Linked DNA regions of Drosophila melanogaster. The protein of the gene in region 2 interacts with the protein of the main gene of each other region in a pairwise test. Each region holds a gene or a part of one and is shown on either strand. Other genes may lie near its edges.

Region 1 (5,391 bases), on a different chromosome or scaffold from region 2:
AGAGTTTATCAAGAAGGGCCAGTCGATGGCTCGCGATGACTGCGACTATACGGCTCTGCACTATGCGGCCCGCAATGGGAACGAGCCCATCTGCAAGCTGCTTCTCGACGAGGGCAAGGCAGACGTGAATGCTGTGACCAAAGCAGGAGCCACCGCGCTGCATCGTGCAGCCATGATGGGTAACAACCATTGCAAATCGCAGTTATGATCAATCAATACTACGAGTTTTAATCTGACGGCAGGCCACTTGGAAATCGTGAAGCTACTGGTCGAGCACAAGGCTAATCTTCTGCTGCAGGACGAGAGCGGACAGACCGCTTTGCATCGAGCAGTGATGCGGGGCCACCTGGAGGTGTGTCGCATTCTGCTGGCAAAGGAGCCAACACTTAAGCTGGTCAAGGATAAAAAGGACAAAATTGCATTTGAGTACATCATGGAGAACGCCAATGATGATTTTAAGCTGCTGCTGAAGCCCTAAAGGGCTTGTCATTCCCCGTTCAACATATTCGTATTCGTTACGGTTTAAATATCTTTGTTTATTGAGTCTGTTAACACGTTTTCTATAAAATTGCACCCGATATCGTTGTAAAATCCTACTTAGAAATTGCATACGTCCTTATTTGTTTGCATTGTGTGCGAGATCGATTGTATATGGGAAAAGTAATCTTAACGTTTGCGTAGTCAAATTAACATAGTGGATACATACATCGTTTAAATCTTCTATATAGACTATATACACATGCCTAGTAAACATAAAATGTGCAAGTAATTTAGTGAAAACTCTGTGCCCAACAGGATGTGCACACGGAACTCGTTTTGAAAAATGCGAGATTTGCGTGAAAATTCTGTTCAAAATTTGTAATACATCGTAAGAAAATTAATATCACATTGGAGTCCGTGTATCGAAGTTGTTAATTAATCTGGCGTTGAAATTGAAATTAAGGAAACTATTGCAGAACCTTCCTACACACTCGTCGCCAATTTACAAAAACTATACGCTACCTATCATTATAGCAAACATATAAAACCTATATAATCTGAAAATAAAATTCCTAAAGCGCAATCAATCCCAAGACTCAGTCCATTTAACAACAGGTATATCGACCGGCTCCATACCCCTCACCGGCGGCAGTTCGTCAAAGTCGCTGAGGTAACGCTTCAAGGTGGCGGGTATGGCGAACTCATCCACAATCCTCCCCAGCGATGACCGCTCCTGAGTGGGAAGATACCTTTCCTGCACCTCCGGCCGCGTTTGCAGGCATCTCAGGAGACTCCGACGAATCTCCAGGCGAGCGAGAGACTGCAAGGAGCGTGGCTGGGTGCCAAGCAAACACATTTCCCGCTCGAATTCCAGCCGCGCTGGTGGCCAGTCCTTGGGCAGGGGTCGGTGCTTGTGCGGAAACTGAAAGCCAGCGTTGCCTATGGACAATAGGAAATGAAAATAACTACCATGTACTTCATAGGAACTAAGATCAGAGTAAGCAACTTACATAGCAACCTGGCAAAGGCCAATCGTGTTGGTGTGCAATTCGATCTGAGCTCATTCACCACATGTTCCCGGCAAATCTGCGCCAGATTGCAGCCCTCGTGGATGAGGAATTCGGCCACCTCCAGGCGGTGCAGGTTGATGGCCCTGGACAACGGAGTGTGACAATAAATCAGGCCACAAACGATTGTCGGAGCACACGAGTCATAGAAATCATTACGAGCGCTGGGCGATTTGGCAAGCAATACACGCAGTATGCGGCTAAACTCCTTAACCCAAAAATTCTGCTGCACGGCAAACAGAACCAAGCCCTCATCGTGGACATCCGAGTAGAGTCCGAGCTTGCGCTGTTCCTCAGCCACGTTCAGCAGATACTCAAGCATTTCGTGACGCCCCCGATGGATGGCCAGCATGATGGGTGTGAAGTTTTTGAGATTCCATACGGACAAACTCTCGCCGTACTGCAGTAGAAGCTCCACCAGTTCCTTGACATTGGACTCAACGGCGAGATGCAGCAGGTGTTGGGAGGCCAGGCGCCGTGCTCCGCGCTCTAAGAGCAACTTGGCCATCTGGGTGTGACGACCCCTCACCGCGTACTGCAAGGCCGTGTGATTCTGCTTGTCCTGGATATTGATGCGAGCACCACGCTTCACCAGCTCTTCAGCTACGTCCAACATGCTGCAGGCAATGGCCGCCATCAGTGGTGTCTCGCCATCATCATCCGTGTCATTGATGTTGATGTTCGTTTGAAGCAGTAGACGGGCAGATTCCGCACACTTGCTTTCGATGGCCATATGAAGCGCCGTCTTGCCATCACTCAGGGTTTTGGCATTCACCAAGGCTCCGTGCTTGATCAGTAGCTCGGTGACACCGGCGAAACCGGCACCCAGATGGAGTGGCGCGTATCCATCGTTATTGAGGACATTGATAGGTGCGTTGTGTTCCAACAGGATGCGCACACACTCCTCGTGACCCCAGTAGGCGGCGTAGTGCAGCGGAGTGGCCACATCGGCATCGTAGAGATGCGGATCATGTTCGCGACAGGAGACACAGCACTGGGATGATATGAACTCTCCGGTGGTTTCGAAGGTTTTCGCATAATACTGATACAATTGGCTATCCTCTTCGCCGCTGCCCGCTCCATTCTCCGCACTATTCTCGAACTCATCCACCCACTCCAGTTTCTCCATACCCTCGGGCGTCCGCTCGATCTCGAGGCTATCCGTGTTCGCTGCAATTCAAAACCAACGTGAAACGTTCTAAGAAAGCAGTTTTTGAAAATCTTTTTGCTAAGACAGTATGAAGTACAGGTTTCAGGTTTGACAAGATTTTCGTTACTTGCCACATAGAACTAGCCGTGTCTACTGTGTCTGGTTGCAGTTGGAACCCATTGTCGAGCATTGTTATCAGCCGGTTAACTGGCCAACCGATAACCGGTTTTCCGGCCTTCACTTACTTTTCTCTGTGCTTGCATTATGTTGGATAGACCCGAAAAGAGAAAAGAATGCACAACAAGAAATTGAGTACGTACAAAATTAACCGACTAAAATTGGATCATTCAACTTAGTGGGAGTATTAAAATTATAATAAATTCTGTATAGTATTATATATACTCCAAAAGTGAACAAACGAACTGGCACTTCATTTAAAATTTTCTTGTATCTAACTAATTCGTTTCCTGGATCCATTGATTATTATTATTATTATTTATGTTTATGTTTTACCTTTGAACAATATACATACACATTATCTAGCTTACCCACAGCATTTTTTTTTCTAATGTTCTCTATGTGTTTGTTTTTAATGCAATTAAATTTTCCGAAAGTTAGTTTCGTTTGTTTTCAGAACGAACCAGTGGAAGGAAAACTCACACTGATGAAAGACATTCAGCTCGGGCTCCTCGCAGGATTGAAGCAGCAGCTCCAACAGTTCGGCATCGCCCAGAATGGCCGCCGTGCCCACGGCAGTGCGTCCGCAAGTGGGCGATACATACGAGGCCTGGGCACCTTGCATGATGCAGCCCAGAGCCTGCTCGAAATCTCCGCTCTGTACGGCGGTTAGCAGGCGTTCGTTGAGGTCGTAGGACAGCATTTTGCCATCGGGTTAGTAATTTAGTTAGTTAGGCTAACTGAAGCTGGTTAGCGAAAAGGCGAAGCGAAAAGAACAAACCAAATGATAAGCAGCTGCTTGTGGGGTGGTGTGAAAAGTGCGTCGATGTCGTCAGTGGCAGCAACACTCCCCCGGAAAGTCTCATCGAGAAGTGAAACCAAACATCCGGCGTGCGCAGAAGCAGTACCAATTTTTGGCTGCATAGCGGGTGGTGGTTTTCTTTTTTTGGGGCGGTTTGAATTGGCCATTCTATTGAGCAAATGGAGAGTACAATAAAGAAGAAATCAGCTGGCAGTTCGCTTCCAAGCCCACTCATCGCTTGTTTGGTTTATTTTCGACGTCTGTGTGTGCAGTTGCTATGTTTGTGGGTAGTGAATGTTGTTGCCTCAGCTTAAAAAACGCTTAACATTAGCTAATCTATTTGGTTTCCTTTGCTTCCTTGGCAATTTGCAGCGATTCCGTGATGAAGAGTTTGGCCAGCGATTGCGAACAGAATTGTGCGATATGCTGGGCGTGGGTATTGATCTGGCCAGAGGTTATGGTGGCCGTCAGGCGGTTGGGCGCAGTCATGGGGCGGAACTGTTTGATCACTTCCTCCTCTGGCACCGTGGGCTCTCCCTTCGATGTGCGAACGGCGTTCTCGGCGGCCAGCTTAGCCAGAGCACGGTGCTTCTCCTAAAAAATATAAATGCAAGGAAAGCGATTAGGAATTTTTACATATTTAATTATATTGCTACGTACCGTATCCTGCTTGAAGACCACCTGCTGGTACTTGTTATAGCGCACTGCCTCCTGGTACAACTCGTCGACGCGCTCGATCAGGCTACGCATTTGGTTCTCCAATACGGTGGCGGTGCCCAGGTCCAGGAAGTTGTGCCCCTTGTCCTCGGGCAGCAGCTCGTTCAGCTCGCTCATCATAATGTTGGTCAGCGGCGAGTTCTTGATCACAATGGGAATCTCGGCGAAGAGGTTCTCGTAGCCGACCTTCAGGGTGCGGAATGCCTCTGGAGTGAAGTCGCCATCCTTGTACATCTGAATGGCCTGCGGAGTAAGGCGGTAGGCCTTCAAGCACAGGAATCCGCGGGATGACTTCTGCGTATCGTAGACGACAACGACGGACTCTTCAATGCTGGTCTGGTAGTGGTACTGCGATTCCAACAGAGCCATTGACAGGCTGTTGCCCACGTCGGAGCTCTGGTACCAGCCCACATGGAGATGATCTACGTTGACGCGACGCAGGCGACGCATCACGGTCAGCTGGTACATCTCCTCGTCCATGGTCTCATCGCCGCTCTTGGGAAACGGGAAGCAGTTGGTGATCTCCAGGCACTTGTCTACCACCAGACCGAGCAGGGCGCCCTGGGCGAGGTCCATGTTGCTCGACTCCTCATGGCAGTGCTTCACCATCTTCATGACGGCCTGCAAGGTAAAGTGATCGTAGTAATTATGTTCCAAAATCAATTAGCGACAGACAACTATTTGCATTTGAACAGGGGCGTGGAAAGTAGATATATTTCGGACTTTCTTTTAATAGTTTCTCTGAAGAAAACATTTGACTGAAGTTTTTTGTGCTATGGTAATGAAGAGACCGGCCCCCTTTTCCTTATAGCTCTACGCCCATGTCCTCACGAACACCCATACAAACACACACAAAGCACGCAAATTTCTGAGACAGCGCGTGGCATTAACTTTTCCGGCTTTCGCGCCGGTTCCCACGGGCCAATCTCGGCCAGGTCTTTTGGCCAACAGCACTACTCACCAGTCCGTCGCATTGGACGTAGTTAATGGTATTATCC
Region 2 (3,050 bases):
CGTCTCTGGTAGACGATGGCGTAAGCACAGACGCCTGCTATCTGGACCGGCCCGAATTGAGAGCCAGCATTTTGGCCAGTGCGGATTCGGCCTGGCTGCACGTCTCCGGCGGCGTCTCAAGATTGCTGGACAAAGAGGCGAGGCCTGGAACTGCGTCTGCGGGAACCCGGAGAGCCGAAACTTGCATCATATTCGTCACGTAAGAGTTGGGCCTCTGCCTGGATCTGGTATAAAAACAAAACATTGCGCCAGAATAAGACATTAGTTACCTTCGCATCGATCAACTAACCAACTCAGCCTCAGAATGATGAAGTTCATGGTAAGCCTTAAGTTCCAATATTGTTTCTATTGACACCTCAACTGAGTCCAGTATGATCCTTTCAATAAAATATAACTACATATTATAATAATTGGATAATATGATTGGATCTTTCTTTTCTAATACACTTCAGTCTAAACCCAAATTAATTGAATTTTTTCTTGAATCCCTTAGTGCATCTGCCTCTGCGCCATCTCTGCCGTTTCGGCCAACTCCTACGGACGTTCCCGTGGTGGATACGGTGGTGCCCCAGTCGGTGGCTATGCCTACCAGGTGCAGCCTGCCCTGACCGTTAAGGCGATCGTTCCCTCATACGGTGGTGGATACGGCGGAAACCATGGAGGATATGGCGGTGCCTACGAGTCGGTGCCTGTGCCCGTGTCCTCTGCCTACAGCGGTGCCAATGTGGGATCTCAGTACTCCGGTTCCGGCTACGGCGGTGCCCCACCAGTTGATGCCCAGGCCATTGCCCTCGCCAAGCTCGCCCTGGCCGCTCCCAGCGCTGGAGCTCCTCTGGTCTGGAAGGAGGCTCCCCGCTACGCCCAGCCCGTCTATCCCCCCACCAGCTACGTGAACCAGGAGTACGGACACAGCGAGAAGGTGAAGGGAGGCTCCGCAGCCGCTGCTGCCAGCTCCGTGGCCGCCGGAAAGAAGGGCTACAAGAGGCCCAGCTACTAAGTGGCAAAACGTTGAACAGTGAACCAAAAACTTACCTGCCCATAAGGAACTAGGTCATAATAATAAAAGCCAAAACATCAAGACTTAAAATTTTGAGTACTGTATTCTTGCTGGGTTTTTAGTTTCGGGCCGAGAATTGAGATCTGCATATCTTAGCTGAATTGGCATAGACTTGCGGTTCATTGCAATGCCAAGCGATACTTTGAGCCAGCAAAAATTTCGTGGTTTCGTAGTTAAATGAAAATGCTGCTTAAAGTGCTAAAGAATAATTCTCATGGCGAATGAAGCTGAAAAGCTAAAACTAAATTCATTTGTGGGGCCACTTTAAAACTATAGTTCGTCAAATAAGCCTTGACTTTTTTAAGTTACCATAAGTAAAGAACCTATTAGATAAAATGAGATTAGATAGAATATAGTTTTGCTTGAAATTATGTTTTTGTAAAATTTCAAAATGATTGAAATACTTTAAAATGTTTTAGTTATAATTTTAAGTTTTGTATGTGACTAGTGGTCACTTTAAAGGGATGATTCTATATAGGTTTTATCAGAAAAACCGGCTGGAACCAGTTCTAGAAGAATCCTCACTTAGACAAGCCAAGTTCCGGACACAACCGACCTGGAAACCATTACCCCCGAGAATGTGGATAATATAAAGTTCAATTCAACAAATTTTGGACTGTATTCGAAAATAAACGCGTTCGTGGTTCCCATTTGGAAGAGTCGCGTGTTCGTAGTGCTATCACTACCCAACACCCGGTAGAATAGCACATCGCGTAACCAAGCGATTTTATAATGGCTTGACAACAAGTACATAAATCAAATGTGAGTATATTCCAGCCGGGCAATTATGAAATGCCATTTCTGGGCTGAAACAGAACAATTAGTGTATATAGGTCACGTAAATGTCCAGGCTAAAATTTGCGTATAAAAGCGAGCGTTTCTGGTCGGTAAATCATAGTTTGATTGATTACCCCAAACCAACAAAACTAAGCACTCACCATGAAGTACCTGGTAAGTTGTGGTAGTCCCCGTGAAGGAGTGGCAGCCAACTGATCCTCCGGATTTCCCCTTTTCACCTTCAGATTGTCTGCGTTACCCTGGCCCTTTTCGCCTACATCAACGCCAGCCCAGCGTACGGCAACCGTGGAGGTTATGGTGGTGGCTACGGTGGTGGCTACGGTCCTGTTCAGCGCGTCGTCTACGAGGAGGTGCCCGCCTACGGACCATCCCGTGGCTACAACAGCTATCCCCGCAGCCTGCGATCGGAGGGTAATGGAGGAAGTGCCGCTGCCGCTGCCGCCGCTTCCGCCGCTGCCGTGAATCCCGGAACCTACAAGCAGTACGCCATTCCCTCCTACGAGTTGGATGGCGCTCGCGGCTACGAGATCGGACACGGCTACGGCCAACGTGCTTACTAATTCTCGCTTCATCGGCAGTGAATTGAACTATCGACTCCTTGCTAAAATCCTCGAGTGGCTGTCATGGCGAAACTCTGAGAATCAGTGAATAAAAGCAGCTTGAACGCAATGGAAAATACCGAAAAGAAATACGTATTGTGTGTTTTGCATTGTGACATACTTTTCAGCGCATTCGGGTTAAGATTTAGCGGTGGGTCATTATTATTATTCCACACACAAGATGGGTTTCAAAGTGGGGCAGCTAGAATATTCACTGCGGCAGATTGTACAATACTATATAGAAGTACTATTGCACTTTAAGCTACAAAGTCGACAGGTTAAGCTTCAGTGACTCAAGAATTTAGTCACCTATGAAACCCTTAGTTTCACTAATAGATTCTTAGACGAACATCTTAAATTGTATAATCAAACAAAGGGCTATATATATTACAATAACATATTTGCCAATGTGCATAAAGGCATAGACTCTGAAGTTATGTTTTATCGTTAAAATTTGGTTTGTTCTGTTTACTTGAAGGTATAGATAATATTATAAAATCCATATCCAATAACCATTGGTCAGTCGTTGGCCCGTTATCCCATTAACCCGCTTGCGTTCCCGCACGCACCCAAATGCAACCATTGATTTTGGGCCT

The links. Proteins that work in one complex are often made in the same cells at the same time.
Region 1: the proteins of Cp15 (region 2) and CG9121 interact in a two-hybrid assay, tested with the Drosophila melanogaster proteins (one large-scale study listed by BioGRID).

The regions. Positions count from the first base shown.
Region 1 is NT_033779.5:5,047,301-5,052,691, forward strand, and holds CG9121 (uncharacterized protein), read right to left. Parts: upstream 3,676-5,391; 5' UTR 3,578-3,675; coding exon 3,358-3,577; intron 2,949-3,357; exon of another isoform or gene 2,829-2,948; intron 2,781-2,828; exon of another isoform or gene 2,718-2,780; coding exon 1,491-2,717; intron 1,420-1,490; coding exon 1,064-1,419; 3' UTR 518-1,063; downstream 1-517. Other genes in the region: CG44001 (uncharacterized protein), read left to right, coding at 1-179, 243-478; eIF3h (eukaryotic translation initiation factor 3 subunit h), read right to left, coding at 4,013-4,270, 4,337-5,014, 5,355-5,391.
Region 2 is NT_037436.4:8,726,531-8,729,580, forward strand, and holds Cp15 (chorion protein 15), read left to right. Parts: upstream 1-1,950; 5' UTR 1,951-1,996; coding exon 1,997-2,008; intron 2,009-2,079; coding exon 2,080-2,415; 3' UTR 2,416-2,536; downstream 2,537-3,050. Other genes in the region: Cp18 (chorion protein 18), read left to right, coding at 305-319, 494-997. UniProt on the Drosophila melanogaster protein: Chorion membrane (egg shell) protein; plays a role in protecting the egg from the environment.